Canis lupus familiaris: one gene and its partner. The protein of the gene in region 2 purifies or fractionates together with the protein of the main gene of each other region. This does not show direct contact. Links are inferred from orthologs where the notes say so. Each region holds a gene or a part of one and is shown on either strand. Other genes may lie near its edges.

Region 1 (4,148 bases), on a different chromosome or scaffold from region 2:
TGATTCATCCAAGTTATGCAGATGCAGACCGGCTGGCATGCAGTCATTCAGATGTGCAGCCCTGCTGGCAGCCAGCAGGCATTGGGGAAAGATGGCAGGACAATAGAACTAAGAGGAACGGGGTCTACATGGTGCTGCGTGGTTTACGAAGCACTTTGACGCTGTGCCATCTGTCTCCCTGAAGGAATGAGTGAATGGGACCCTGAGGAGACGTTGGAAGCTGAGCCAGGCTGTGAAGAAGCAATTCCAGGAGCCACGGGGCCAAGTTTACACCACAAATGATTGATGGAGCTTAGGAGAATAGGCTTTGGCAAAACGAAACGTGGGCAGGAAACGAACAGCCACTTAATCCCTGATCTATAAAGCAAGCCCAGAGGTACACTCAGCACCAACAGAGAATCACCTTTATCCAGTCAGTTTGTGTCTCAGGACTCAGGGGCCCAGTGCTATTCCTTCCTAAAACACTCCCCACCTCCTGTCACAGATGCACAGGGCCATATAAAATCAAGAAGCACCGTTCTACTGGCAAGGTTCCACAGCATCACTCTGTCCTCATCTCTTCCTGCATTTCATGAACACACCAAATATAATTAGGAAGTGTAAACTTTACAAGGCTAAGAATTATGAGGCCATTACTTCAAGGCCAGGATGAATTAAATTTTCTTAGAAGACAGAGACCTGCAGGAAAACTATAAATGTAATGAGAATGCCAAGGTGGGAGGAGGGAGGGATTCCGGGCTCAAGTGCGACCTGTGTCCCCAGGTGACCTGGCCCAAGTCATATCTTTGTCTGGAAGTGGAGGCCAGTCTTCTCAGAGCCCTAAAGTGCTAGACTGGGCTTTCTGGTTGAGAATTAGAAACCGAACAAAAAAGCCCAATCTCTGAATTGATCTCACTAGTGCCTGTACTGAACAGCAAGTTCCTGAGGCTGGGAAACTGAGGTCTGGGTTGAGGACGAGCCACAGCCTGCCAGGAGTTAACATCTCTTCCTGACCGGTGGGGATGGGATGCAAGGGTTGTCCCAAAGTTTGACCTTGGGGTGGTGGAAGGGGAGGAATCAGAAGCATCTGTGTCTAGGGAGGGGATGGTGTCACTGCAGGAGACATTCTGCTTCCTCCAGGCAGCCTCTGGCCATGATGACCACCTCTTATTCACTATATAGTTCTGATCCTCAACCATCCAGGGCACTGGCCAAGGCAGAAAGCATTAGTCCTAAACTGAAGGAATAGGACTCAGAGAGGCTAAGTGCTGGTTCAAGGGCAAACAACAGCTGGCAAGCAGGCATGACGATTTCCAGTGCGATTCTCTCCACTCTGCATCAGGAACATAACTGTAACGTGCAGCTCCTGGAGGAGGGCAAGGATGGAATGAGCAGCTCATCACGGGGTTCATAGAGATAAGGTGATTGGATTCAAGTTACACGGGGGTAAAGCAAAGCCTGGTGCCCAGGTTTTCCCCATTCAGAATCAACTCCTGAGCTTGGTGACCACTCTGCAGCAAGGCTGTGGAGCTCACAGGCCACGCGATTTGATCGGCGTTACTTCCAGGTCAAATGTTTTCACATGGGCAATGGCTGTTTTTGTGGCGTCGGGAGAAGTCAGCTCCACTTTTGTGGATATCAGAACTGAGAAGCAACAAGCCAATTCTGTTCAACCACAATGTGGGCTGGCCCTGTGGGAAAGGCTGTTCTGCAAAGTGACAACTGGTGTTCTGGGCCTCCAGATAGGGAAGTCAGGGCTGTCTGTGGCAGCGGCTGATTTTGGTTTGTCACTCAAGTTTTTATCTGGCATCTCCTTGGGGGTGACAGGTCCTAGGGCAGGCAGTGGTCACTCACCCTTGACACCCTCAAGTGATGGAAGTTTGGGCGGAGAAAGGCTCCAGACTCCTTCTCACCATTCCTTCTAGGAGAAATTCACCCATAGGGGAAACAGGGTCAGGGAGCCGGGCTTACCCCCTGAACATTCCAGAGGAAAGAGCAGGAGAGAGTTGGTTGAGAGTGCTGGTTCTCAGATGGACCAGCAGTGTTTGCCCTGGGGACCAGCGCTCACATCCCTCCGGCAGGATCCTGCCTTGAGCTTTCGTGTTAGACCCACATGGATTCAAATTCCACCTCTGCCACCTGCAGACGTGACCTTGGGGGAGTCCCCCGTTTCCCTGAGCTTCAAATTCCTCATGTGAGACGGGCTCATTTAGAGCACCTAACACAGAGGACTGGAAAGTGTGATAATGCCCATAAAGCGGCTAGCACACAGTAAATGCTTAATAAGGTTCAGATGTCACAGGCCTCTTCCGATGGCCTACTCCCCAAGCCTGTTTCGCTTCTGTAAGGCGGGGACCCCAAAGGAACAGCTTCGAAGGCTGCCGTGTGAACAGAACGAGACGACCGGAGCCGGGACCCCAGCCCGAGACACATACTTCCTGACAAGCAGCCTGAGGGGTGGGGCCTCAGTCCCCCCATCTGCAAAATGGGCACTTGGTTCGCCGCCTCCCCCCGCTGCCCGGTAACCCCCGGAAGGCGGCGGAGGCGGCTGCTCTCCGCCCCTCCGGCCCCCTCGACCCTCTCAGATCCCTGGATCCGTCCGGCCCAGCCGCTCCCTCAACCCCAGCCCTTCAGGGGCGCGCCCGGCCCGGGCCTCCGGCGTCCTCCGCCGCTCCCCGGCCCCGCTACCTATGGTGGAGATGAAAGTTGAGTTGAAGGCGTCCTCGGAGAAGCGGAACAGGACACAGGTCTTCCCCACCCCCGAGTCCCCGATCAGCAGCAGCTTGAACAGGTAATCGTAGGTCTTCGCCATATTACACTCTCTCCCCGACGGGAAGTGCGGCCAGCGCCTCGCCACTGGCCGCGGGCCCCGTCCATCAGCGCCGAGCCCGCCCCCTATTGGCTCCCAGCCCGCCGCGCGTCACCGCGGCCGCCGCCCGCTCCCGCGCCCCGCCCGTCGCGGGGAGAGCTGGGGAAGGGGCGAGCGAGGCGCGGTGCCGGAAGCGGCCCGAGCGCGCCGCTCATTGGTCGGCGCTCGGGACAGGGCGGGCTCCAATTGGCCAGCCCTGAAGAGTCGGGGGCTTCAAATGCAGCCCGGCGGGGGGCGTGGCCTCCCGGGTCCCCGCCTTCTTTCCCTCTCCCCCCCCCCCCCACCTCTCCCGGCTCCGGGGCGGCCCCGCCCCCCGGCGGGAGGGGAGGGCGGGGCACGTCGCCAACGGCTCCGCGCGCCCGCGGCTCGGGGGCGGGGCTTGGGACGTGCGTACGGGGCCGGGGGGATCGTTAGGCGCCAGCAGAGGGCGCGCGCGCGGCGGGCCCTGGCTCTCCCGCCCTCACGCCTGCGCAGCCTCAGTAGGCGCTGGGAAGAACGCGGGAAGGGGCCGCGCGGGTGGCCGCGTTGTGCGGCGGCTGCGGCGTCGGGCCCCGGCGCGCGAAGGGGAAGGCAGAGCCGGGGTCGAAGCGAGGTCCCCGCGAGACGTCCTCCGGGGCCTCGGCGCTGGCCAGGGGACCGCTTGGCGCTGCCGGGCCTCCGCCACCCGAGCCGCGAGGCCCTCGGACCTAACCGGAGCCTGCCCAGAGCCCGAGCGCCGGCCGCCCCGCCGCGGATGCAGCCCCGTGAGGATGCTGGGACGTGGCTCCGAGCTTGGTGTTGGCCTGCCCGAGTGGTCCGCACTGGGAAAACAACACCAGGTGGCCCCACTCCGACCCGCCGGCTTGGTACTGGGCTTCCCGCCCGTTGATGGGTTAGAAAACCGAGCTTCAGTGATTTCCCCAGGCTCCCGAATGGGGAACCGGGCCCGAGCTCAGACGCGCAGGCTTGGGAAGCCCGAGATGACCTGCGGGTCGGAGGTGGGCCGCGCCGTCGGGGGGTGCGGGCATCTACACTCGGATCTGGATCCGGGCGCGGCGGGGGGGGGGGGGGGCCGAGGGGGGAGCTTCCAGCGGAGCCGCCGCCCACCCTCCTTGCGGGTGTCTCCCGTCGCCCACGCCTGGCCCCCTCTGGGTGCTGCTCCTCGGATTGTGTCGCAGTCCCCGGGGTCCCCGCGTGTGCTTTAGGCGTTGCCGGTGGTCCCAGGTCTGCTGGCACCCTGGGGCAGCTCGTTCACTCTCCGTACAGGTGATTCTTTGAGGAAATCCATCCCCCAGCCATCCACCAGCCGCTTTCTTGGATT
Region 2 (3,500 bases):
GACCCCGCCTGCCCCAGCTCCTCCCCACCCACCTGCCAGGTGCCGGAGCACCAGTCTCAAGCCTGGGAAGGGCCTTCCGGAGGCAGCTCAGCGCCTGCTCCCTGCTGTTGGCCCTAGAAGGCACATCTGCAGGAGCCGGGGCCCTGCCAGCTGGGCCAGGGCTGGGGGCAGCTCCAGGAGTCTGGAAGAACCTCTCCCGGGCCTGCTGCATCTTGGAGGCTGCTGATGGGGCCCAGTCTGGGGTGTCTGCTGGGCCTGGAGACGTTGGGCCCAAGCTGACCTTGGTGTGGGGGGGTGCCACTTGAGGGGTCACCCGGCCCTGTGGGGTGGCTGGGCGAGAGTCCAGGGCATTTGGCGTTGGGGCAGAACGGGGGATTACTGCTGCTGTGTGCTGTCCCGCCGATGACCACCCTGCTGGGGAGCTGTTGGCCACACGTGTGCTGGCTCTGCCACCCTGGAGGCCCGCCAAGAATGCAGGCCTGGCTGGGCTCCCTGCGTGGACGTGGGAAGAGGCGGTGGCCTGAGGGTTGGCCGTAGCAGGGACGCCTTTGGCAGTCGAGTTGCCCATCACAGGCTCCCGGGCCGCTGGCCTGGACTCTGGCCCTGCATCTCGGGGCCCATTTGCCTCCTGGGCCTTCTGTGGGGCACTGGGCGGCTTGGAGTCTGAGGGTATGGCCCCTGGCTGTCGTGGGGCTGGGCCCCGCAACATGGGGCTTGCAGAGGCAGCTTCGGGGTGGTGGCTGGAACACACGAAGACGCCGGGCTCGCCGGTGGCCCTGTAAGCCCCAGAGTGCAGTGTGTTGGAGCACTGCTTACACCTGGCACAGGGCAGAGAAAGACCCATGAGGACACTCCAGGCAGGCATGCGTGCATTCCCTTATTCACACACACTCCCATGAGTACACACTCATGCAACCCTGTGCCAACTCCTGTGGCAATAGACTCAACAGTCATTTTGAGTCACAGACTCCACAAATCCTCATTAAGGGTGCAAACACCTAGAGTGTCCATGCCTGTGTACATGCATACTCACAAATGCACACATAAGTGCACGTGCATACATTCATGGGTGCAAGTGTGCACAGGTGAACACGCATGCTCGCAAATGTGCACAGAAGTGCACATATGCATGGGCACACAGGGGCATGCACACACATGCACAGGCATGCACACATATGCACGGGCCCACACACACAGGGTGCACATGTGCATTCACAGGCACATACACACATGCATGGGTACACACGCACATTCACGAGAGCACACATACACATGCAGAAGTGTGCACACATGCATAGGCGCACATGCATACACATGCATGGCCGCACTCACACACACACGTGCCCAGGTGCATGCACATGCACAAGTGCATGCACACATGCACAGGTTCACACAAAGGGTGCACGCATGCACACACATGCATAGTCACACACATGCACATACACACACATGCACAGGCATGCACAGGCACACACAGGCACACACCAGCTCTACCTGAAGCAGCTCCGGTGGTAGAGCTTCCCGTCAGCCAGGTGTCTCTGCACGAGGTGCACGTGCTTGCCGCAGACTGCGCAGGTGCTGCTGACTGAGCTGCCTGCAGAGGCCTGGCCCTTGGGAGGGGTGCCAGTTACTATTTCTGAGCCCTCACCATAGGCTAGGAGAGGTCATGTGCCCCAGCTCTCCTCCTGACAGCCGCCCCATCAGCAGGCAAGAAGATCCCACTTTACAGACCAGAGAACTGAGGCCCTGAGGGGAGCAGCCCACCAGGCACTGATGGACTCTAAGTTCAGGGGCTGCAGCCTGACCTTGGGGGTCTGGGGGGACAGGGGCCAGATCCCGGCGCTCCTGAGGCCACCAGAGGTACAGCAATCCCAACACCAGGCCGCAGTTCCCTCGTCACTTGGACAGCAGGGGGCGCCCGACTACAGCACATCACTCGTCCTCTGTCCCCCCCCCCACCTCTGAAAGTGGGGGTGCCTAACACCCTGGGCAGGCGGGAAGGACACACCCAGGATTCTCTCCTGGCCCACCCAGGAGGGAGGGGCGGGAGGCCAGAAACCACTCAGGAGCCCAGAAACGTCAGGGTTCAATGTCTCAGATCTGCTTGGCCTGCATAATCTCCCTGGGCCTCATTCTACCTATCTGTACAACGGGGATCATATCCTGACATGCAAGATTGAAGGGGTATGTGGAGTCAATCCTGATAAACAGCAGCTGAGGATGTGCTGGGGAGCCAAGGGGACCCCCATCCCAGGCCCTGCGGTGTAGAGGTCACAATCCCAAGAATCAGAGGGAAGGTGGAGCTGGGGTGCTTACGGTTTTCAGCAGGGGGCCTCCTAAGCTCCCATCCTTCCGCTGGACGGTGGGGTTTGTGCTGACTGGAGACAGCGGCTGCCCCCGGGCTGGAGTGGGTGAGGGCCTGGCCAGCTGGGATGGAGCCTTCTTCCCAGATGGTTCCTCATCAGAGTCCGAAGGGGGCCTCTTGATACCAGCCATACCCCCAACTGGCATGAGACATGTGAGATCAGGCTCTCAAAGTATCTGGGGCCACCTCCCCACCCCCCCCCACCCCCGTTCTGGGTTCTCTGTGGGTGCCAGTGGATAACATGAGGCCTGGAGCCCAGGGCTGTTGGAGCAGGCTAAGGGGCAGCCTGGAACAACCACAAGCACACATTCCCAGCAGGGGCCTGGTCTGACCCACGCCCCTCCCCCCAGGCTCCAAGAGCCCCGATCTGGGGTCAGGGAAATGGAACTTTTCTGTTTCTCCACAAAGTGGAAATATCAAGGCGGGGCTGGTCCTGTGCCCAGAGTGGTTCCGGGGATTTCTAAGGCCTGGATGAGGAATGTGAGGGGAGGGGAAGGAGCTGAGCTTCGGGGTGCGCAGAGCAGCTGGAGTCCAGTCCCTTGGGCCCATCCCCCACCGGCCTGCCAAATGTCAGGACCAAACGGGGGTGGGGGGGCGCCTCTGGAGCCAGGCCTCGGAGCCCACACAGGGTCTGCCAAGCTGCCTGAGGCGAGACTTGTGGGCATGGGCTCCAGGGGTGCAGAGGGGAAGGAGAGGCAAGATCTGGGTGCCTTTGTTTGGTGCACAGGTGAGTGTGGGGTCTGGGGGGCTCGGACCCTCATGGTGGCAGGAGGGTGGGGGCTACTCCCCCGGGGAGGAAGCCACAGCTCAGGGAGCCCCACGGATGTGACTCCAGAGAGGCCTCCCTGCTGCTTTCTGCCCTGCCGGGTGGTGCTAAAAACCACCACTGAGCTGGCAGGGGGGCTCACTTGGGCCCAAGACAGAGGGCCAGCCTGGCAGATGCAAGGCCTGGGGGGGCCTCCAGCCCCAACTTACTGGGGGAGCGTCCATGGAAGTAGTTGTAGTACTGTGACACGTAGGTCAGGATGCTCAGCCGGTCTGGCACCTTCAGGGCCACCATGTCCTCAGCGTCCAGCAGGGCTGGGATGCCCAACTGCTCCTCGGCCACACAGAAGGCCTGGGGGGAGTGGTCAGC

The links.
Region 1: the proteins of MICALL2 (region 2) and RAB8A purify together in Homo sapiens (co-immunoprecipitation; 3 studies listed by BioGRID and IntAct, with this or other methods). This does not show direct contact. The link is inferred for Canis lupus familiaris from reciprocal best matches to the Homo sapiens genes MICALL2 and RAB8A.

The regions. Positions count from the first base shown.
Region 1 is NC_049241.1:46,760,030-46,764,177, forward strand, and holds the start of RAB8A (ras-related protein Rab-8A), read right to left. Parts: upstream 2,801-4,148; 5' UTR 2,792-2,800; coding exon 2,668-2,791; intron 1-2,667. UniProt on the Homo sapiens protein: The small GTPases Rab are key regulators of intracellular membrane trafficking, from the formation of transport vesicles to their fusion with membranes.
Region 2 is NC_049227.1:15,644,599-15,648,098, reverse strand, and holds part of MICALL2 (MICAL-like protein 2), read right to left. Parts: coding exon 3,341-3,500; intron 2,505-3,340; coding exon 2,317-2,504; intron 1,611-2,316; coding exon 1,495-1,610; intron 819-1,494; coding exon 33-818; intron 1-32. UniProt on the Homo sapiens protein: Effector of small Rab GTPases which is involved in junctional complexes assembly through the regulation of cell adhesion molecules transport to the plasma membrane and actin cytoskeleton reorganization.